Bombyx mori: one gene and its partner. The protein of the gene in region 1 binds, or shares a complex with, the protein of each later gene. Links are inferred from orthologs where the notes say so. Each region holds a gene or a part of one and is shown on either strand. Other genes may lie near its edges. The genes, in order: exportin-5 and GTP-binding nuclear protein Ran.

Region 1 (12,390 bases):
GCAAGTCGCGATCGAGCCCCTATTAACGATACAGAGACCGACCGCGACCGCCCACTCCTCCAGCAGCCTACCACGAGCGTCCGTGAATGGGGAACCCCAAGCGACAGACTTCGCATTGAAGTCCCCCGCCAGTATCACTGAACGGGGAGCGAGGTGACGAGCGATCACCTCTAGCCCGTCCAGGAACCGCTCGAACTCGACGGTAGGCCGATTCGGAGAAAAGTACACCCCGATCACGACGATATTTTCTAACTGTACCGCGACGATCCCGGGGCCCCTGGTCACCATCGCCAGGGGGGGGACCATCGCGGTTCTTCTGATATGTATGGCCGCCAAGCCATCAACGTCCCCAAACCAACAGTCATCCGCTGGGGGAACGAAGTATGGCTCGGCGACCACAGCCACGTCAATTGACCACTCCGCCATGGTCTGGAGCAACATGTCCTGAGCCCCAGCGGAGTGGTTCAAGTTTCCCTGCAGGAAGCGATAGGTGTGATCCATTAAGACTGAACCACATCCATCGCTCCCTCCCCTACTCCATTGCCCCCGCTATCGGGCGCGAACGCCTCAGCGGGGGACAAAGTGCCGGCCGGTGCTCCCCCGGCCAACCGCTTCTTTTGACGCCGCTTAGCTTGGCGGCGCCGATTTCGTTCAGCATTCTTGCTGGCCGGAGGGCAGGCCTTGCCCCCGGCCCGGTGGTCAGCCTTGCGCCCGGCCGCCGCACATAATAAGCAGTGCGGCGCAGCCGAGCACACGGCCGCCTTGTGTCCCGGCTGACCACAGCGAAAGCACAATCCGCTGCGGTCAACGGCACTCGCGCATTTAGCAAGGCAGTGCCCAGTGCTGAAGCATCTGAGGCACCGCCAGGCGCGTGGTTCGAGAAGGCGCACGCGGGCCGCTATCCAGCCCACGCGCAACCTGCCCGGTTCCCCCGACGGTCTCCCGGGCGGAGGAGCAGCCAAGGAGGTGGCCGCCTCTACCGGGCAACGCACCCAAACAGAGCCAGCCCCGGTATAACCGAGGCGCAGCTCGCCTACGGTTATACTCTCCAGGGCGCAGTTGCCCCGGGCGGCAATAGCCGCCGCCACCTCATCCTTAGTGGTGCAGTCGTCCAGGCCGGTCACTCTCAATTCAGCCATTTTGACCGGCCTGTGCACTCGAACCTCCTCCTCAGGCAGAACCGTACGGAGCTTCGCCGCCAGACGCTCCGCGATGCCGGAACTATCGGCACCGGGACACTCTAGTAGCTTGGCCCCATTGGCCGTCAGCCTACAGCGGAGGCCCTCCCCCGCCCCGATCTCGTCCAGATCAATAGCCGCGCACGCCCGGGAGACTACATCTCCGTATGACACGCCCTTGGCCTCGGCGGCCGGCAGCAGCGTTAAGACCACTGCCGCCGACCGCGGCGCGCGCGTCGACTTCTTCTTCGTCTTCTTTTTCTTGGCGGCCACAGGCGCTCGACCCTGTTGGGGAGCAGCCTGAGACGCCGCAGTGGCCGGTGCTCCACCCACTTGGGGAGCTGTCGGTACGGCCCTCTTGGCACCCCGCCGGGCCACCACATTCCACCCCTCGTCCATGTTAGACGGGGGCGGGGGCAGCGGACGGGGTTGAGGCGCTTGCGATGTGCACTTCGCGTTAGCGCCGCCCCCCCGCTTGGCTCTGTCTCGCCCCGGGCCCGCCCTAGTAGCTGGAGCCTGTACGGGGGTGGAGCGGGTCACTGCAGCACCCGACACCGCGGCATGTGTAGACGCAGGCCGTTCAGCGTCACCAGCGACAATACGTTTCGCTTCGAGAGCCGCCAGCCCGCCACCCAGCCTTTCCATTACAGCCTGGACGGTGCGATCGATAATCTCGTCCAGGCTGTAGCAATTCGGTTCCGGCAGGCCCAAGATCCGTGGCCCCGCGGATCCCTGCTGCCGCTCGACGGCCGTCGCCTCCCTAGACCGCGGCGACGGGAGACGCGAACGCCGCTGTACCGCGCGCGATGGTGGCAGCACGGGCCACGGGTCGCCAGCCGCCGCTGAGGGACAGGGACCCCGAGGGACCCCGGAGACCAGCGGCGACACCGCCGGCACAGATGCCGGAGGAGTCCGCGACCCAGCGGCACGCGGCAACGCGGGCGACGACCTCGTCGCGGCTACCCGCTTGGTAGCAGCAACCTTGCCATCGGGCCGCTGCTGCGCCTGTAGCTGTGCTCGGAGCCTCAAATTCTCCGCCATCAGCTGCACCACCTGGTCATTGGCGGAAGCAACCGAAGGCAGAACCTTCGAGACTCGCGAGACGACTTCCCGCAGCCTGCGGCCAGCAGCTTTGGTTTTGGCACTGGTCGCCGCATACGACTTGACGGTCTTCATGGCCCTGCCTATGACCAAGGCAGGGTCCCGAAGACCGCCCTCCTCCTCTTCTGTCGTCCGCCCGTCCAGCGAGGCGACAGACATCGACGCCGATGACGGCGCCGGTGACGGTGCGCCCTTCCCCCGAGCGGGTCTCCCTTTAGGGGGCGGCATCTCCTCCGCGGCAGAGGCCGAATCGGAGACTACCACCACTTTCTCCGGTGGGGCATCCGTGTCAGAGGACGACGTTAGCCCCCCCTTCCCTTCGCGGGAAGAAACTCCCCTCGATTTCCTCTTCCGCCTGACTTTCCCTTTCGGGCCAGCCGCCTCGCAGTCGCTGACGAGCGCAGAGCGCGTCGAGCCAGCGCTGGCACACCTCGGTTCGACGGGTTTTCCGCTGCCCGTCGCACAGCCCCCTTCATCGTGGCATGCTTTGCCCCCCCCAGAATACGTGGGGCAGCATGCTCCCACCGAAGTGGAAGCACGGAGGGATTCTCCACCTAGAGTGGTACCCTCCTGGGGTAATGTTTTTTGTAAGTTTGCCATCATTCATTTCGTTCCTTTGTTATTTAACCAGGGGTCGGTCCCCTGGGACGGCCCTCACGACTGGACACCCTCCAGCCACTCATCCCATCACCGGGCACGTCACAGGCTTAGGATTAGGGCATTTTTTATAGAGGTTTGCATCCTCGCGGCCACTACTAGGCAGCGGCCCCCGCCCCCCACCAAGTGGGGATTACGGTATGGGACAACCCTTGGGACTAGACTCCCTCCAGCCATTCATCCCATCGTCAGGTGTCAAAAACTTGGGATTGGGGCATTTTTTATAGAGGTTCGCATCCTCACGGCTCCTGCTAGGCAGCAGCCCCCGTCCCCTACTCGGTAGGGATTGCGGTGTGCTTCTTCGAAGCCACGCCGGTAAACCGGTACCCCCCTTTGGGGGGCCTTCCCCTGTAGCCGCCAAGAGGCAGCCGGGGACATGGCAACCAGCGACCGGAAGGGAGTGCCCTCCGGTTCACTTCTCATCCACGTGGGGTCTACCATTACTGACAGACCCACACGTCTGACCACGGTGTGGCCACGCCGGCGTACCGGTACCCTCCTCTGGAGGGCCTTCCCCTTTAGCAGCCAAAAAGCTGCCGGGGACATGGCCTAGCATTCAAGACGGCTCCAGAAGGGAGCCATCTCCCGCTTCACGCACCCTTTGTCCAGCAAAGGTGGGAAAACGGGAACACGGTGTGCAGTCCTCTTTGTTCACGGCACCCCTGTGCAGACAACGCTGCTCCACGGTATCGGGGTGCACGCTTAAGCCCCACCGCCGCGACAAGGCGAGATTTGAGAAGGCGGCACGACATGAGAACCCTCTTGTCGTGGCCGCTGGAAACTACCAACTCGACCCTGTAGACCGAATGGTAAACAGTCACGTCCATAGATTATACACTTAAGTCACGTCGCCCAAAGCACGTCATTACGGATCCTCCTGATCCATTAACGGTGCTTTTAGGTACCACAGGCATCGGTCACCGTCCTCGTTGAACCCGTCGCTTGTGACGAAGGGCTCGACGGGCGAATTAACCCATAGACACAGCCCACTGAGTTTCTCGCCGGATCTTCTCAGTGGGTCGCGTTTCCAATCTGGTGGTAGATTCTGCTCTTGCTAGGGTCCGTGTTAGCATCGTCGTCAGGTTTGAGCCCCGTGAGCTCACCTACTAGTTAAGGTTACGCTGATATAGCCTCTCAAGGCTCTCAGCTTAGGTAGGAAATGTTGGAAGTCGCATTAGAAGTTTCACTTCAATAAAAAATAAAATATAGTAAACATAATAATTAATATAATTTATTTAGATACAAAGTGGTATTCACAGCATGGTATAGATTTGACAGTGGGCTAGGTGGGTGGAGTGTGCGCGAACAGCAGGTCCAGTCGGGGCGGGGCGGTGTCGTCAGTCGGCGGGCGAGCCGTGCGGACCGTGGGCAGATCCACTATGAACACTTCCTTCTTGAACAGCTGACCCACGTTGCGACCAATTAACTATACAAAAACGATACAATATATCAATATATACTCTCTGCCAACGATATTAGAAGTGACTGACTCCACCGCGCGGGTGGATACGAATATTGTTATCCGAAACTTGTACGTATGCTGTATGTATGCGAGGAATGGCGACGTTTGGTGAAGCGTGGTGGTGCCACACGAAATTATGACAACGACCACTCTGCCAAGAGTGCATACGACTGAGTAGAAGAATCCTATCTATCTTGTCAATGTCGTTAGCGGGGTTTAGCTTTTTGTCGGATCCCTTCTATAATGTAAGTACGGTAAATATTCGTTTTGTGAAAGAAAACAAATTTAGATAAGAGTACTTCGGATGAAAATTAAATTGTAAATCACATATCGGTCGTCACTCATACTCTCGGAATTCAAAATGAAGTATATTATTGAGTAGGTAGTGTCTTACTTTCCAGTTTTGGTAGTATAAATAAAATGAAGAGTTATTCAAATGGGACTTTGAACTTGTACACTGAAGTGGAATTTAAGTTGTATTGTCTATGGATTCCTAGAACAGACATGGCTGTATGGACTTTTGATCTCCTTGCCTTTCCAAATAAGCAAAAATTTTACCAAAAAAAAGCCTCTAGATTCCATTTTATTTACATTAACTGACGTGTTATCATCATTAAAAGAAGTACCTTGGAAGTGATTTTCTTAAATAAATCTCGTTTGCTCTTGTCGATTTTGGAAGGTTTCCCGGTGTTGTTGGCAAGCTTATCTTCTAGCCGCTGCAGATCGTGTGCGTCCACATCCGGAATGGCACGTAGTACATTTACTATGTTAGGGAACTGTGGCCGGAGAGTTTCGTATGTCTGTGGAGAATGAAAAGATAAAAAAAAAAAAATTGTGCGTGTCGTCATCATTTTACTGGGGGTAGGGCCTTTTGTGAGTCCGCACGGGTAGGTACCACCGCCCCACCTATTTCTGCCGTGAAGCAGTAATGCGTTTCGGTTTAAAGGGTGGGGTAGTCGTTGTAACTATAAGACCTTAGAACTTATATCTCAAGCTGGATGGCGCACTTTACGTCGTAGATATCCTTGGGCTCCAGAGACCACTTAACACCAGGTGGGCTGTGAGCTCGTCCACCAATCTAAGCAATAAAAAAACTATGATCTTTGAACGAAAAAAATGTTAGGTCACGTCATAAATTTTCAAATGCATTTATAAATCGATATGTTTTGCAAAATATGTACAAAGGACATGGGCCACTCTCCATACATTGCACGGCCCACTAAACGAAGGACAGTAATGCGGGATTTACATTACGAAATTAGTGTCATGCATGTTGAGCTCAGTTTCACGAAAGTAGTTTCGATATATGCGAAAGTAATTTCGTTAAAAAATTAGTGTCGCGAAATCCACAGTATCGCAGTAACCATGGCGCCTTCAGCATCAAAGCTATAATTTGCCATATTCAATGAAGCTAAAGAAATGCTTATATACCTATAAACTTAAAAAAAGACTATCAAGTAAAAAGAAGTTGGTAGATTCGAGGATGGTCAACAAGAAGGTATTTAGGTGCAATGAAGTTAGTCTCTGAATTAGCAGATGAAGATCCTGAGAGTTATAAAAACTATTTTCGAATGAGTGAAGATAATTTAAATTTTTTACTGTAGGTGTTTCGGGTCCCAGAGACACCCTTGTCGCTAATATTCATTAATAAGATCTAATTTTTTTTTTTCGCGCTCCCGATTCCGTTCCCGTCACGAGGACTGTGGTGGATTGGCACACGCTGGGCATTAGCCTGGCTGAATCTGATCCACCATCGCTCCCGTTTAGCCCGGACTCTACCCCGTCTCCTCAGGATACCGCTGAAGCCATAGACATCGTAATGTCACACATCACCTCGACATTAGATAGGTCATCGAAGCAAGTTGTGGCGGAGGACTTCCTTCACCGCTTCAAATTGCCCGACGATATTAGGGAACTCCTTAGAGCTAAGAACGCTTCGATCCGCGCCTACGATAGGTATCCTACAGTGGAAAATCGTACTCGAATGCGTGCCCTACAACGCGACGTAAAGTCTCGCATCGCCGAAGTCCGAGATGCCAGATGGTCTGATTTCTTAGAAGGACTCGCGCCCTCTCAAAGGTCTTACTACCGCTTAGCTCGTACTCTCAAATCGGATACGGTAGTAGCTATGCCCCCCCTCGTAGGCCCCTCAGGCCGACTCGACTGAATAAGGCGATATTGATATCGCCTTATTCATCAGTTCAATATCGACGACAATGAGGAAAATTATAAGAACGATTAAATATTTTTCTTTGACATGTAATATTTTGTTTGTACTTTATAATATTAAAATAACCTTTTTTATTTTCTATAATATTGCTATGAACGTAATAAAATAATTTTTTTATTGGATATCTTAAAAGATCACAATAGACTAAGCACTCTATCTCGCTCACACCCGCTTGAACAGTTGCTACCTCGCGCTCGCACCTACAGCGGGCTCTCAATGTGTCTGGCAAGATGTAAGAACCATTAAAACTGTCCGGCTCTTGGGGTAACATATTTTTATAAGTCCCTAAGTAACATATATAAAATTTAGCTTTTATAGTATAACGAAAGTATAATTAAAATTTATTAAAGTTTAAGGGTGTCTGGCAGGGGGTAACAACTGGAAAAAGTGTCCGGCAACGGATATCATGATTTCTAAAGATATTCTGGAGTAAATATTAAAAAAAAAAACCTTTATACTTTAACGAATTTAAGGTACTATTTTATATACCTTTACTGCCTGTTACCTGCCCAAGTAACCACAATCGGAACTCTATAATCGCGGGTCGTTCTTACCTGTGTTGGAGACATACACAGAGAAACTTTCAGCTTTTATAAAATAACGAAGGTCTGGCTGTCACGGGCTCTTGGGCCATATGAAATTAATTGCATGACACTAATTTCACCAAAAAATCGCGCAGGGCACGAAACTAATTTGCATGCATGAAATTAATGCATTACGACAGTATTAAGTTACACGTGAAACTGTTGGTAAAACTATTGTCACGAAATTAATTTCATGCCACTCATTTCGTAATGTAAATTCGCCTTAATCAAATTAAGTTTAAATAACAGACTATATATGCCTTTTATTATAAACAAATTAAAATCAATATTGTTCATGGGGATACAGAGATATTTAAAAAATAAGATAAGATTTTTGTCGATGATGTCGCTCATGTCCCACGCGAGTAAAATACTCCTTCGCATAATAAACAGCAGACTATCAGCTTTCATAGACCACCAGATACCGAGAGAACAGGCTGGTTTTGTAGCTGGAAAAGGAACTCGCGAGCAAATTTTGAACGTCCGAGTGCTCATTGAGAAATTTCGCGAGTTTAACAAGCCTCTGGTGCTATGCTTTATAGATTATGCGAAGGCGTTTGACTGTGTTCGGTGGAGTAGCATGTTTGATGTGTTAATTGATATGGGCGTTCCTTCTCATCTCACACAACTGATACGGAATCTTTACCATGATGGCTCTTGCTTCGTGAAACTGGATAATCGAAGATCTAAACCCTTCCATACAGAACGTGGAGTGCGTCAGGGCTGCATTCTGTCACCCAAATTATTTAATATCTACGGCGAATATATAATGAGAAGAGCACTTGAGGGCTGGAACGGCGGTATTTCCGTGGGCGGTGAAACACTCACGAACCTGAGATACGCTGACGATACTACCATGCTTGCATCAGATGAGGAGGAAATGGAAATTCTGCTGAACCATGTGGAAGAAGAAAGTGCTAAACTCAGTCTTAAAATCAACCACTCCAAGACCAAAATAATGATAATAGATAGAGCGAAAATTCTTCCACGTTCTGATGCACTCAGTGGCTAGCTACGAGAAAGTAGCGGAATTCACATATCTTGGGTCGCAAATAGCATCCGAGGGTGGCTGCACGGGGGAGATACGCCGAAGATCCGGTATGGCTAAAAGTGCGATGGCCAATCTCGAGAAGATATGAAAAAATCGTAGCATCCGATATAAAACCAAAGTGCGCTTGGTGCGGGCACTGATCTTTCCCATATTCCTCTACGGGGCGGAGACATGGTGCATAAAAAGCCGGGACATCAAAAAGATCGATGCCTTTGAAATGTGGGTGTGGCGGAGGATGCTGCGAATACCGTGGACTGCCATGAGAAAAAACGAGTCCATTCTAAGGCAGCTAGACATCCGAAAAAGGCTCTCTTCCATCTGCCGGGAGCGTGTTATGAGCTTCTTCGGATACATCATGCGGTCTCCCAGACATGAATTAGAGAAGCTCATAATTACGGGTCGAATAGAAGGCAAGCGCGCCGTGGGTAGAACACCAGCCAGATGGTCAGATCTGGCAAGAGAAGCACTCGGTGGTAGTCTGTACCCTGCAGTCCATGCCACCCATGATCGAGCACATTGGAAGTACGTCGCATGTGGTCGCGATCCTCAGTAGTGAGGGAACGATATAGAAGAATATCATATGATTTGCTGTCAATACACTTACACTTTAACATCATCATCAGCTTAAATATTATTTATATTACTATACTTTATAACACAGACTTAATTCAATGAACGCCAAGACTTAATTTTATGCACAACAAAATATAATAAGCAGGTATATCGCAACGAAACACTTAATAATATCCACAATGCGCACGAGTGCGAAAACGACTGATCAAATGTAAAACAAAAACATTAAACAAGCGTTTTGTTTTTGCTTATAATCAATAATTATTGATCAATGTAATGCTTTATTCTACGGATTTAAAAGTATAAAAATAGATTTTTGTTTAGATATAATGTTTTATATTAGTTTTGAAATTCATTAATTAAATATGTTAATATATTTTTCTAGTTTTTTGCAATATAATGTCTTTTTTAAGAAGATTTAATGTGGATTGTTTAAAATATAAATATATTTTACCTATGGCAACTCCTTCAATATTATCAATGTAGCTTAGTCATGCTAATTTCTTTTTATTTATGATTTTAATTATCCCACCATTAAAATATCCTTAAATTGTATAATAAGTATGTGTATGCTTGTCCTTAAGTATGTGTGTATAAGTATGTGTCCTTTAGTCGCATAGTTTATACATATTCCTCATGAAGGAGCAAGTGAAGGGGACTTGGGGGGAACGCGAGGAGTGAATTTTGTCTATTTGGTGTTTCTTTAGTTTAAATGTGTAATAACGGTGGTTTACTAACTGTTTAAGATCTGTGAAAGTGCACAGATGTGGGAAAATGAAACAAAGCCGCTGGACGTAACTTCTCGGGATCCTTCAAAAAATTCACTGAAAAAATCTCAGTAAATGACCACCACCATTTTACTGAGATTATATTTCACCCCATATTATCTCATTTCATTTAATTTCATCCCAGTTGATTAATGTCTCAAATTAATCATCTTCATTTTATTTCATTTCATTTCACTCCATATCATCATTTTTCATAAAAATAAGAATTTAAAATAAGACATGACTTAAAGGTCTTAGTTACCAGGTTATAAAATCCCTTAAAAAAAACCAAGTGAAGGAGCGAGGAGGTACCTGCAGCGCGAGCGCGAGCAGTGCGGCCTGGTTGGCGTCGTGCTGTCCGTGCGCGCGCAGGGCGTGCAGCTGGGCGTGCAGCGCGCCCGCCGCCTCCGCCGCGCCCAGCTGCCCCGCCGCGCGCGCGCCCGCCACCGCCGCCAGCGCCAGCCCGCACGCGCGCAGCGACGCGCTCGAGTCGCCCCACGTCAGCGCACGCAGTACCTGTAGCCATACCGTACGATCTAATATAATATAGGGTGGAGAAAAAGTATCTTCGCATTTTTTAAGAACATTCACAACATTTTTTAATATATAATAGTTTATTTAGATTTAGCTAAAGTATGTAGGTACTATTTTGTTCGATAACTTTTTGCCATCTTGTAGGTAGGGATATGATCCCATTGCTATAGAAATTTTGGGGCTTCTGATCAAAATACAGTGACAATTGATTTTGGCAGTTCTCTCGTGATGTTAGCCTGACACTGCCTGAAGAATTCTGAAGGGACCGAAACAGGTGGAAAATTGAAGGTGCAAGGTCAGGACTATATGGCGGATGCATTAACCCCTCCCAGCCAAGCTCTCTTAATTTTTGCTGAATGGCTAAAGATATATGAGGTCTAGCGTTATCATGATGAAAAACCACACCCCTTCTGTTGATTAATTCCGGTCGCTTTCTCTCGATTTCTTGCTTTAATCTCATCAGTTGTTCGCAGTAAAGTTCAGAATCGATGGTCCTGCCTGGTGGTAAAAGCTTGTAATGAATAATTGCAGGAATTTGATTGTTGTAGGCATAGTTACCGTGTGCAAGAGAGCGGGTCCCGCGACCGGATGCTGCAGCAGCAGCGCGCCCAGCTCGGACACGGCGTCGGGCGTGCGGGTGTGCGCGGCGGCGGGCGCGGGGGGCGCGGGGCTGGAGTCCTCCTCCATGTCGTCGCACGTGTCCGCACTTGACACCACGCCGCCCTCCACCAGCGACACCTAACCCCACACACAACACAAATTAAATTATTTCATACTAGGTGGATCCGACAAATGTCCTGTAAACTTTTTTTATTAAATTTACATTCCTCAATATTTTTTTTAAATATGAATATAATTAAATTATTTTTTCTTTCAAAATCTAACTAATAATTTTTTTCCACGATATTTTTGTTGATTATCCCATTTTCAATTTTTCTTTCCGCTTGAATTTTGCTTATCATTTTCTTATAAACACTAAGCAAACAGTAGATATTATGTCAACTTACTTTAATAACTTCTAAATATTCTTTAGTCAGGTTTCTAACGAGGATATCTTCTAACACTTCTTGAGACTCACTGCCGGTTTCCTCTTCTAGTTTACCAGACTCGTAGAGAGACATGATGTAGTCCCATCGTTGCGACAGATGCATTAACACTATAAAAAAATTGATCTCGTAAAGATATGTTTTCACTACCTATTGAAAGGATTATCTTATGACTTTTGGAGTACAACACCAGTCATCTGGTTTAGTATCTACCATAGTTCAAAGTCACAGTGAATGTAGCCTTATGATATGATATTAAAGTTCCAAGGCGCATTATGTTTGCATTGTTATGATTATAATGATAACCTCTATAGCACTTTTGTGATTTCAACTCAAAGCATGGAGATAAACATGACTAGAACAATATTAAAAGACTTAACTATCAGTGCAGTGTATGTATATTATAATTCTGAATGTCTTTGGAGATATTAAACAGTTTGTAGATTAAATAGAAATCTTATACCTTTATAAGCAATTCTTGTATATTAATATATATATATATATATATATATATTACTACTTACAGGAAAAATCTGTCGCGGATCATCTCCCAATTAAATTAATCTTAAGCAATGAATGCAATGTATTCAAATCTTAGCTGTATATTTTTTTTATTTTTGATGTTAATGCACTGTCGATTGCACCTATAATTGAGGTGACATCTGCCATGAGCTTTTGTCAATTTGTCAATGTTTTGTATTGATGACACTGAAGTAGGAAACCTATGGAAATGAAACGTCAACAAAAAATTCGTGCCACTGTGACGTCATCTGGCCACAAAACATGGCGGCTTTAGTGCTGCCCAGAAGATTTTAATGTTAGTAGGTTTTATCGATAAACGTTCTTGGCTTATTTTATTTTAAATATTGTTGAGTATTAATGTATTTGTAGAATTTATACTTTAATAGAAATTAAGTATATTGTTATATGCAAAGATGATGTGATTTAGATATTATGTGAAATCTAAGACGAGTTCGTGCTTCAAATTTTCCAAGTAAACGATATGACGATTTTTAAAATTTGCTACACTGATTTTATAAAGTTGTCGTTTGCCGCAAAACATAAAGATATGGCATAGTACAGTGCCATCAGCCCATTTCTAGCATGCTGAATGTTATCGTATTTTGAGTACGTGTTTTTCTTAGACTATTACAATCTATTTTAATTGTTTTGCTGACTCTAAAGTCCGTAACAGACTACCGCAGTG
Region 2 (12,442 bases), on another chromosome or scaffold:
TGATTTATTATAACATAAATTAAATTAATGAACACCAAATTGTAAGTTTGTAACAATAAACAAATTGGACACACAATTGTTTTTCTTCAATCTATTACCTATTTTGATTTTCTCGTATATTCAGCACCGTTATTACTAGTTTTAAGATACTCCTGTAAAAAACTCTCCACGAGACAGGCAGTGCCTAGTGTGGAGAGTTTTTAGCAAACTGTTACGTGTAAATGTTTTTCAAGGTTAATAAATAAATAATTATTATTATTATTAATCTACCTAGGAATAGGGATTTGCAATATTTTCAATGCATAGAATACAATAATTGTAAACAGTTAGAATTTAATTAGATGCATTTATTCTCTTTAGTCTTTATGTAAGATTTCATAACTAAAGATGAACTACATAAGGGTATAATGGATATAATATGGAGTATACCGGGGCAATAGACATCTTCTTATCTTTCAAATAACATGTACACTTACTTAAACTTACGTTGTTAGGTCGTCTTTAAAAATAAACTCATAATTACTGTATTTAATTCTAAACACCAGATTTTAGTTTTATTGTCAAATATTCTTATTTCAATTTCAATAATACACACTAATAAGAATTTTATTATAATTAATCTAAGCCTTCCTTTTTCTCCTTTATAGCTTCCTGAAAAACGAAGCAATAATATATGGAAAAACAATCATAATAATAAACACTTATATTTTACACATTTTTTTAAGCAAATTTTTACACATTTTTCTGGTGGTAGGACCTCTAGTGAGCCCGCGCGGGTGGGTACCACCGCCCTGCCTATTTCTGCCGTGAAGCAGTAATGCGTTTCGGTTAGAAGGGTGAGGCAGCTGTTTTAACTATACTTGAGACCTTAGAACTTATATCTCAAGGTGGGTGGCGCATTTACGTTGTGGATGTCTATGGGCTCCAGTAACCACTTAACACCAGGTGGGCTGTGAGCTCGTCTACCCATCTAAGCAACAACAAAAAAAAATCATAGAATGCAGATCGTGCCAACAACTTACTTTAAATCTTTCTTCAAATAATGAGAGTTCAGATGTTAAGTCTGTAATGGCATTCATGAACGCTTCCTGTGGTGTATAGTCTGATGTTGTTTGAATTCTGAGTACAAATTTATGTTCCAATGGATGCGGTATCTTGTAACCGGCAAAGAGGACTTTTGGGTCCTTCAGCAGTTGACTGAAATAATATTTGTTTTTTAAATTAACACAATCACTTAAGTGCAATAAAATTATGGGTGGTGAGTATTATGGGTTCACCAACTCCACTACATCAATAGACACTATACATAGTTTGATTTCCTCCACTAATATTGAACACATTCAATCTTAGACTTACACACAGTGTTTGTTCATTTAGTGTTGATTGTACTACATAACACAATAAAATGTGTGGCATTATTCATGTCGTGTGATATCTACTGGTTCCAGTAACCACTATACACCAAGTGAGCCTTTTACACATTCAACCGTTTATGCAAAAAAAAAAGCTCTGCATGCCCTTTCATTCTCCCCACTAACAGTAATACTAATACAATTCATATATAAAATAAAAAAAAGTACATGTCAATTCCTATGGGAAGGAGAAAAGGAGAAAAAAATGATGGCTTGTATCTAGTCTTCAAGGGGTGTACTGCCATTTTACTTATTTCTACTTCACCATAAACATATTTAAGTTACCTCATATCTCAATCTAAACAGGTTTAGAAAAAAAATATGAAAATTTATTTAAGAAAATGGTAAATAGTTTTCAACCCTAATATGATCACTTTTAATAGATCTCCTATATTAAATTTGATATCTGTAATTACAAGATAGAAATCTTACTGTCTGATCATGTTACCAAGTGTGTGGTCCTCTTTGTTAACTGTAAATATTGCTGCATTTGTAACTTTTGTATCTTCTTCTTTTTGAACCCTGAAACAGTTAGCCTCTGTAGATAATAAGCTACATAAATCAATTGTTACACTGTTAATTTACAGTCCTACGATACTAAGATTATTAAGCTGTAAATTCATTAAATAAACGTACTTTTTTTCACCGTCATACAACAAGAACGATTCGAATGTCGGCGGTGCATTCATGACTACAAATTCGTTATCAAATTTTTTGGACTAAAAATATTACAAAGAAATCCGAATAAAGCGATTTTTAGTTTCTTCTATCAAACAAACTCATCCCAGATAAATTTTAAATTAAATAACTTGTTTATAAAATCCTACAATAGAGTCACATATATTAAGTGTATAATCTATGGTCACTGTCATAGATTACACTTAATGTCACTATGTTTAATATTTACTTTTAACTTTTTATTTAAGAATTTCGGCTTGGCAACAAGATCTTTAAGCCAATTTTCTTATTTTCTTCTTTTATTCTGTTAAAATGTGAAAAACGTTAACATCTGAGTTTCTCGCCGAATCTTCTCTCAGATTGAGCCCGTGAGGCCACCTATCGGTCCGTGTGTGGTTGGAATATCCCCTTAACATAACGATTCGGTAGAAAAAAGAACTATGATATTATGAAGCTAAATGAAATAACATTGATTTGTTTAAGATTGGGTTGAATGGGTGGAAATTGCGTGAAATAAGGTGAAACGAAATAACATCCTAGTAAAATGGTGAAAATTTACTGAAATTTCAGTGTGCTTTTTGAGGAACCTCAGAAGTCCCGTCCAGGGATTTGGTTTTTGTAACCATATTTGTGAACTTTCGCAGATATTAAACAGTTAATAAACCACCGTTATTACACATTTAAACCTGAAGAAACACTAAATAGACAAAATAAAACAAATCACACAACTTCACTCCTCGCGTTCTCGCCAAAAAGTCCACTCACTCACTTACTCACTCTTTGATTCGCATAATAAAAAAATTGCTTATGCTTTTTGTTTCCAATCACTTAGGCAAAGGGAACGAAATCTAAAGATTTCAACTATGGAGTCCATAAGTTAGGAGCCTGTTTCAGTGTATTAAAAGTGTCCGCTGAAAGGGAACCAATTAAGGTGGTGCCATAGTAGTAAGAGGAAAGATTAAAAAAAACAGCACTATAAACTACCACACTTCACTTCAATCCAGCACACTTCACTCTGTTTAAAACTACTTTAATAATTTGCATTTATATCATTTCCACTTCATACACTAGCGCTATTTCAGTGTCGGTGAGTCTTCTAATAAAAACTGGCAGCTTACAGGTACACACTTTTTCGACTTGTCCCCTATACAAGATGGTGTTCCTTACCTCTATCCTCCATAAATTTAATAAAAGCTTATAGTATATGAGATCGAAGAAAAGTGTCTTGTACAAAAATTTTAATTAAGCAAAATGAAATAAGTCACAGGAGTTGTTTAATTAAATTCATGCGAGACCTATACAGATCACTATCTGTTTAGCATAAAATAAGTTCGTATTACTTGAAAAAAAACATGACCAGTAAGGGCCTCGATAATCATTCTTAGTTGTTCTTTTTTCTTTTATATTTACTAAGGCTTGACACGGGGTGGAGTTCTTTCTATCGAGCGGCTCGTGGTACAGGATAGGTAGAGGGTGTCAGCTTGCGCCGCTGACCTTCCGCAAGCTGCTCCGTCTGCAGCCCGACGCAGTGCAGCGCGCGAGCATGTTTTCCGCGTTGCGGTCAGTACAGTGGTGGCAACAACCGGAGTCAGTGAGCACTTGCGTCAGTCGGAAAATGATGCGTCTTCGGTCGGGACTCGTGACCCACCTAGTCCGGAAAGATCTCGCAGACTGCTTATACGGTCCGTAAACCATAGGACGGGATCACCAAGCGGCGACATAACGTCTTCAGCACGGACTGCCGAAATTAGAGCTTCCGCACTTATTCACCGGTGCGCCATTCTCTCCTAGAGCGGAAATCGCCACGCAACGCGTAATCCGTGGCGGGCGCATCCGCCTCCAGACCCCGGGGTGATTCCCCGGTGAGCATGCACACCACCTCAAAGATGCAGTGGAATCCACAGCGCAGTCGCATTTTCGAGGATCAGAGCGTAACACCAAACCGGTGAACAATATAGTGCCATGAACCTCCACCACACCCAACGTCCGTGATTTTTTAGCGCCCCAGCGATTTCCAATCAGGACAGGGTTTTAAAGGAATAAACGACTAAAAAGTAACTTTCATTGCGACGGCAACCGCCCCGACTCGAGATACGCTTGAAAAAGCCTCAGAGCCAGCCATCAAGGGCACTAAAGGTCAAATCCCAGATATTGAAGGCATATGCATAATGTGTAGGTACCTACCTCATGAAACTTAATATTTAAGAGAGGCTAATAAATAATTTCTCAGTATTTCGTCATATATTTTCAATAATTAGATAGCTCATTAATATTGTGAACAACCACACAAATCAGATCACTTACAGATTCTACATATTATTATTATTAAAGAATCTTAAGTTACAACAACCCATTTTCTCCATTGCTTCTTTTATTTATATGATGAAGTAAAATCACGATCTCATTTTTTACACTTTATTTAAAAAGTATCACCACAATTCAATTTTTCAGTGAAATATTGTCAGTCCTTGCATGTAACAAAAGTAAGAAATAATTTCAAGATTATAATATTATGTGTGTACATGCTATTGGTTTACAAAGAGTTATCATACAAATTTGTTTACATGTGTATTATAAATAACAGTGACCAAATAGGCATTAACACATATTGGGCAATCAATGCAAAATGTTTTTATGACAACTGTAACAAAAATGAACTACACATAAATAATACTCATATTTTTGTTGCCTTTCAATATAAAAGTTTAGAATTACAGTTTTATAAAACTCAAACTAGAGGAGCTACGTGTTAAATTATCTAATGATTTTACATTAATTAAAGCAAATGATTGAAGGTTTAATAAGTTATTAAAATAATGTTCATTTGCGATCACCTAATGGAATGAAAAAATTTAGTGTACGCTACACTGAACACATTTGCATGATCCTCCAATCACAAAATGGGCACTGGGTACATCCGTTGATCATATTTATAAGTCTTCATCTTCCTCAGGAAGAGCAGTATTTTGTGCATCTTGAAGATCTTTTTCAATTTGGTTCTGCCATTGAGGATCCATTGTAACTTCTGGTGGCAGAAGGGCAGGCATGGCAACAAACTCAAGGTTACCGTCACCAATTAATTTTCTAGCTAGCCACAGGAAGGGTTTTTCGAAGTTGTAGTTTGACTTAGCAGAAATGTCGTAGTACTGAAAAAAATAATCAAGTTTGAAACAAAAATAATTACAAAGAATTTTAACATTTTGCCTTAAAATTAACTCTTAAATTGAATGAAAATAGTTTTATTTACCTGCAAATTCTTTTTCCTGTGGAAAACAATAGTTTTCGCCTTAACTTTTCTGTCTTTAATATCCACTTTGTTTCCGCACAAGACAATAGGGATACCTTCACATACACGGACCAAATCTCTATGCCAGTTAGGTACATTTTTGTACGTAACTCGAGAGGTTACGTCGAACATGATGATAGCACATTGTCCTTGAATATAGTATCCGTCTCTAAGACCACCAAACTTCTCTTGTCCGGCTGTGTCCCACACATTAAAACGAATTGGCCCGCGGTTCGTATGGAATACTAGAGGATGTACTTCGACACCCAGAGTCGCAACGTATTTTTTCTCGAACTCTCCAGTCAAATGTCTTTTGACAAAGGTTGTTTTGCCAGTACCACCATCTCCTACCAATACACACTTGAATGTGGGCATATCATCTGCCATTTTCGTTGTTTTATTGCTATTTTACTTCTGAAACAATGTGGTAAACTAAAATTAGGATATAGCCATAGAATGTTCTATGACGCACGGTTGACAGGTCGTTTCAATCGATCGTTCACTAGGTTTCGCGGAATACAAGAAATAATTCAACACTTTAAGCAGATTAAATTCATCACTGGGTACATAAATTGTGAGTTTGAATGAACTTGACAACTTGAATTTGTTTTAACTTTTCGGCGAATGGCGCTCAATCACTCTCATAGGAATTTAGCTCGAAGGTACCGAACTCTAAAGAGAAAAACTGAAAAACTACAACGCCAATAATATAAATATGGATATCAGTTTATTGGCAGTTTTTTATAGAACACAAACAAATAATTTTTTTAAAGGCTTTACCGTGATTGTATAAGAAAATCGAGATTTAACTCGTTCCAAAGCAAAGTCGTTACGGCTCACAATGGCGTCACTTGACTAAGCGGAAGATTACATACAATGACAATTTTGACATTGACAAGCACAGTGAATTAAGAGTCAGTGTGAGGTCTTTTTAAATTTATGAAAGCCACGTAAAACTATTTCAAATGTTTAAAAAAATATTAATTTGCATTTTATATACTAACCTTTCAATCAGATATATTTTGTAAATGAGTTAATTTCTATTTGGGTAACAGTATTTAAAATTAATAATATAAGCCGTATAATGCGCTGTTTTGACTACAGGGTATTTGACGTCACTGGTATTTCGAAACCACTACGCCCCCTATAGCTTACAAATTCAAACATTTTATATTCAACATTGCCATCTTAGTGGTTTTGCCAACAAAATTGGCAATTATGACTCCCAAAAAAATATAGCATAAAGCTTATTTTGTATTAATGGTTTTGTATTAATTTTCTATTTTAATTTGCTCATCATGAGTGCCATTCATGAACACACGCTATACACAAATTTTCTTTCAATAAGAAATGGTAAATGCCCGCGGGAATTCTATCGGCCACAAAGACTTCGTAAGATCGTCTTTTTCCTCTTTACACTATTAAAATTTTATAAAATCACTCTTGCTTCTCGATGGATTTTTTCCATCTTCGGCCTTTCGATAGATTTTCGAACGAAGAAGAACAAGCAACTATTCTTCTTCGTGCAAAGTTTCTTTCTGAGATCCTTCCTATATGAATATATCGTTGCTGAGTTTCGTCTTGCGGCCTTCTTAAAACGTACTCCTCTTTTAATTTTAATGAGCCTGGTCGCCATACTATATCCATCTCACAATCTTCATTTCACAGTAGCGCACGAAGCTTATAAGTTGTTTCTTAGCATGTGTGCCTTGTTTTTTTTATATTTAATATTAGTGGATCCTAGAAAAAAATTATGGCAACATTAAATTTGACAGCATGAGACAGGTAGCGAGTGTAGCGACCAGCGATAAGTGAAGTTTTGCTCGTCTGAACGTTTTGTATGGTATCGATTTTTTGAGTGAAGTGAACGTAGTGTTCGTGTCCTTTAGTTTAGTGACGTTTGTTAGAAAAATATCTTTGAATGGGATTGTGTAACGAGAAAAAACGTTTACTTGGTGCGTGATTCTCTGTAAAGGATGACGAAGGACAGGTTAGCGGCGCTTCAAGCGGTAAGTAGATTTGTAGTTTCTCTCTTCTCGCACATCTAATGGTCTTGCCGATGACCTCGAATTCATGATGAAATACCGATAATAAGGTGCCTATCGTGAGTTTGAAGGATATTTTCATAGTTTCTTCTTTTTAAGAACTACACATCTTTGGACAAACCAAATATACGAGGGTTCTTTATTCTGGTCGCCCCACCCCGTACTCGACTTGGATGAATGATAGCTGTCATTCATGCGAGACATTTGTTGCGTTCCGCTATTCTTGTAAGAAACCTACTTTATCTGCATTGTTTTTGGGCCACTAACCATGTCGAAAACTTTAAACCTGTATAACCTCACAAGAAAACATTTATTGTTATAAAACTGAAATGTCGTAAACACTTGTTTAGTATTTCAACTATAGTACGGATTTTTTTATTTATCATGAGTTAAAAATTAAATCATAGGATACAAAAGTAACTTTGAGTGTATTTTTTTTTTTTAATTATCCAGTTAGTTAAAGTGCATATGAGCAATAAGTTATGACTCATAAGAACAGTCAGATACAATGAAGTGGAGAAGGAAAATTAAGATCAAAGTTACTGAAAGTGTATCTAGGCTTTAAAATTTGAATAATTTAACAACTGATTGAAATAAAATTATTAAAATAAATAATGAAATCAAATTATGCTACAATTTACATCCATTAATATTTTAAAAAGTAATTTTCAGCTTTTCTTTATCAAAATAAGTATACTATTTTTATGTTACCCACTCCATAAAATAAAATAAAAATAAACCTAAAACTTATAAATGGACCAAGTGCTGCATGTGAAATACAAACTTGATGAAGTTGACACATATACATTCGAACTTTTTATTAAGATAGAAAAACTACAAGCTCTTATATTGATCATATACTCAATTAAGTCTTACATATTAAAATATTCACTAAGTATAGGAAAGGTACCTAGTTTATAGAAATTAATTTACTATTGTAGCAAATTGGATAGTTTAATTTGGAATTGTTATTTGAATATTTTTTTCTGTTTATTTCTAAATTATTTTTGTTTCATTAGAAATTGGTATTGTAAAATAAGTTTTGTAGTTTAACAAAATACACCTGAAATGATAATATGAGTCGACTATTATCAAAGCCGGCAATGTGACTTTTGGACAATTATTGGTAAATCAGAAAAATGAATTATTGACTTTGTATTCCATTGGCAGTCACAAAACTCTTCTGAACGACATCTTAGATAAATAACAGGTTAAGTATTAACCTTTATTTAATGCAGGTTTTGAACCGTATTCTTTGAAGGAGACGATTATATTCAAATCAATCTGTATTGACATATCAATAACATTTTTTTGTCCAAATGCACAGATTGCCACCTTTGATAATAGATGACTCATATAATCATTAAAATCACACTGCTATAAATCTTCTTATTATAAATTCTCTGAAGATTATAATTTAGTTAGAACAAACCAAACAAACCATTAACATTAAATCTTTAAACATTCAATGACAAAGAAAAAAATACTTATATGTTTTTCGATTTCCAAATTTCTTTTCAATAGTAAAAGACACTTTTTTGATGAAAAGTGTTGTTTATTGTGCATTATTTTTAAGGAGGGATGTTTTGTCCCTAATTTGGTAACATATTGATTTGTAAAAAATGAAATTCATTGAATTGATTTGCACTTGAGGGTCCGAATGAGACTGTCTAAACGATGAAACTGTCAGCATTCAATTCCAAGTTTGAAATAAAAATAACATGCTAATTTGTTTTTGATTTTAGTACAATTCTTTGCATTTTCGCATGTTCTTTTTGCTTTCCTGTGTATTACATTCCACGTTGACTATGATTTTGGGAGAGATTAACGATTTACTGATGTAGTAGACACCTAAAACCATAAATCCAATTACTGTGCGCAACGTTGTTTCGGCGCTTAAACCAAGCTTAGTATTAAGTGAGGTGATGGCTTTAGACAGCCCTACTCGTTTATAATTTGTTTATCTTTTTACTATTATTCTCCTTAATTACACACATGAGGGTGTTGTAATAGATATGAAGATATTATAAATAAATTTTGTCATATGCCAAATTGTTAGTTATATAGTCATATAGTCAGGTGAGCTCACCGACAAGAGGTTAAAATTTCAACTCCATTAGAGTTACGGCTGTTCTAGCCCCCATATCGTGGGTCTCGTGCATCAAGCCGTGGAGATTTACTGTAATCTTGTTTAAATAAATAATGGTTAACAATGTCTTCTAACAAATTCAACATCAAATCGGCTTATGTATTTTAGCACGATCAAGTGTAAAGCGCCGACGTGCCTTATCTTATAATAAGGTCATTATCTGCACGGAACGAACTGCATGAGACAGAACGAATCAAGTTCCGCTTATGTATTTTAATCGACAAGTAGGAGGCGGGGATTGTATTTTTAACTACCCTCAGTTTACCTACCCTCAGTTTAAGAAGGCGACAAATAATAAGCGTTAACATCTAAAATACTTCAACAGTACCGCGGCACCACGTCTTTATATACAATTTGGGATAAATAACAATATAAAATCCGAAATGGGAGGTTTTGTCTGCTCTTCCAACGAAAAAATAAACGAACAAAGAATATGCACACGTTAGGATCATATCTCAGTCGTTATTTCCACAGTTAGATTATCTTCACGCACAAGCGTTCAAACTTTTCTTATAGACTACAGTTTTATCATAAAAGTAGATAAATTAGGTTAGATAAATAGAATAAGGCTTATTAATACTGTCTTCCATCAATAATGAACTCATATTGAATGATAAAAATAAATAACTTAAAGCTATCATAAAATTAATTTGTCGAAATACACAATAAATTTTCTTCACAAATTATATAACTAAATGTGACCAAAAACCCATCGCGCAAGACATTGCTCATCGGAAATGGCGTTGGATAGGACACACTACGGCGCAGCGGAGTCAACGCAGCATCAATCGCGTTTGAGTGGCAACCGCTTGGCAGGAGAAGACCTGGTCGCCCTGTACACACTTGGCGACGCACCGTAGAGAGTGAGATGAGGACTGACAACGTGACCTGGAGTGATGTCAAGGAGCAAGCGCAAGACAGGATAAAGTGGAGACAACTTGTGAGGGCCCTATGTACCAGCGGGGTACCCTAGGACAACAACAACAAATTATATATTCTCTTAGCTCTATTGCTGCCGTGATGTACTCGTATGTTCTGGTCTGAACAGTAATATGTACCAGTAATATGTAATATATACCATCTCATGTCTCTGCGTAACTCCAGTAACCAATTAACGCGAGGCAGATCGTGAGTTCCTTTGTTCATTTCAGGAACCAAAAGAAACTCAATGAAAATTTGTGTGAATAGAAAATTACAATTTTTTTTCACGAGTCGTAAACATAATTAAAAATACTTTTACCCTTCAAAAGAAGCGTAAATATGAGAAAGTATTTTATAGAAAATTTGACGGTAGTTACCGCATTATTCAAATATCGAAGATTAATAACGTAGTCGTCCATGATCACGAAAAATGTAAAGTACCCGAAACTTCGGAAATTAAATAATGAAAATAATTAGCACCAGATTAAACCGTAAAATGAGGTTTTAATTAGAATGTTTGAGTGATAACTGAATATATCCCATATTCGGTTATAAAGCTGAGTTAAGTGCATAAAATTTTGATTAATGCTATTGTTCACTTTTAATTTGAACACTAGGACGTTGGTCCTCCTTGTACAAATCTTCACAGTGCCCTGCCCAATGCTTAACAATACTTATTTTAATGTGTGTAGCCCCTGATCCATTCCAGCATACTCTGCAAATACACCTAAAATATTTTCTTTAAAACTCTAGAATGCGCCGTTTAATGTGGACTATTCATAGTGCTATTAATGAATGCCTTGATTTAATTATAACTTCTACCAAAATTCAATCTTGATAATGTCTTCCGACTTATTTTGTGTACCCACGAATATCGGCGACAGCTGTATGTTGTGCATTATATTTCTTCCTTTTTTTTTAAATGTCATTAGATGAAACAAAACAAAATCTGTAATAAAAATTTCGTAAAACATTTTAGTACCTTCCTGCATAATCAGCAATTCAATTCAATTAATAGAGGTTAATAGAAAAGTAAATCAATGCCGATTAACACTTTTCAAGTGCTCATTAGCATTATGTAACTAAAAAATTCGCAAGATGTTGGTGCATACCCTTGCGGGATTAAAATACGGCCTATCATTACACTCACATAATTTTTTACTGGTGGTAGGACCTCTTGTGAGTCTGCACGGGTACCACCTCAACCTCGCCTATTTCCGTGAAGCAGTAAGACGTTTCGGTTTGAAGGGTGGGGCAGCCGTTGTAACTGTACTTGAGACCTTAGAACTTATATCTCAAGGTGGGTAGCGCATTTACGTTGTAGATTTCTATGGGCTCCAGTAACCAATTAACACCAGGTGGGATGTGAGCTTGTCCACCCATCTAAGCAATAAAGTAATAAAAAAAAGTAATTAGGCAAATTAGTGTGCGCAAAATTATTGGAAATTAGGATTGCGTTTTATTCTCACGAAGGTATTCATTTGGTTTCTCCGTGGATATAGATGTTTGCTTTAAGTGTTTGCAAATACTTAGTTAGATCTTCGATGTGTCGTCTCTATACTTGTCAAATGAAATGTTGTAAATGAAACGGACTTACTTAGTTAATTAAAAAAAAAATATGAAGTTTTTGCGGAGGAAACAATAATAATAATATTCTTTCGTGTTTTGTAATTGATTTTTTCATAAACCTATTTTTCATATGAGTAGGAACTTTTTAAATACATACTTGTAGTCGCTTCTTTCTTACAATTTTTAACATTCAATCAAGTTTGTTTTCTTTTGGTAGTTCTTCTTGGTTTTCGTTCGTAGTTCTAGCTCATTTAAAGGTTATGTAATCGTAAATTTATTTTCCAGCGATTTTATCTAGATACATTACTTATACTTAAAGAAGAAAGGAGCTTTATATAATCTAAGAACATTCTGAATTAAGACTGTTTTCGTATGATCTATA

The links.
Region 2: exportin-5 (region 1) and GTP-binding nuclear protein Ran share a complex: the UniProt entries of both Homo sapiens proteins name them as parts of the nuclear export receptor complex. The link is inferred for Bombyx mori from reciprocal best matches to the Homo sapiens genes XPO5 and RAN.

The regions. Positions count from the first base shown.
Region 1 is NC_085119.1:13,751,088-13,763,477, forward strand, and holds the end of exportin-5, read right to left. Parts: intron 11,294-12,390; coding exon 11,145-11,293; intron 10,876-11,144; coding exon 10,696-10,875; intron 10,120-10,695; coding exon 9,916-10,119; intron 5,199-9,915; coding exon 5,025-5,198; intron 4,363-5,024; coding exon 4,219-4,362; 3' UTR 4,152-4,218; downstream 1-4,151. UniProt on the Homo sapiens protein: Mediates the nuclear export of proteins bearing a double-stranded RNA binding domain (dsRBD) and double-stranded RNAs (cargos). XPO5 in the nucleus binds cooperatively to the RNA and to the GTPase Ran in its active GTP-bound form.
Region 2 is NC_085116.1:5,370,051-5,382,492, reverse strand, and holds GTP-binding nuclear protein Ran, read right to left. Parts: upstream 6,233-12,442; 5' UTR 6,157-6,232; intron 5,791-6,156; 5' UTR 5,764-5,790; coding exon 5,338-5,763; intron 5,237-5,337; coding exon 5,021-5,236; 3' UTR 4,492-5,020; downstream 1-4,491. Other genes in the region: DNA-directed RNA polymerase II subunit RPB11, read right to left, coding at 963-1,197, 1,845-1,934, 2,049-2,101; syntaxin-1A, read left to right, coding at 7,353-7,385. UniProt on the Homo sapiens protein: GTPase involved in nucleocytoplasmic transport, participating both to the import and the export from the nucleus of proteins and RNAs. Switches between a cytoplasmic GDP- and a nuclear GTP-bound state by nucleotide exchange and GTP hydrolysis.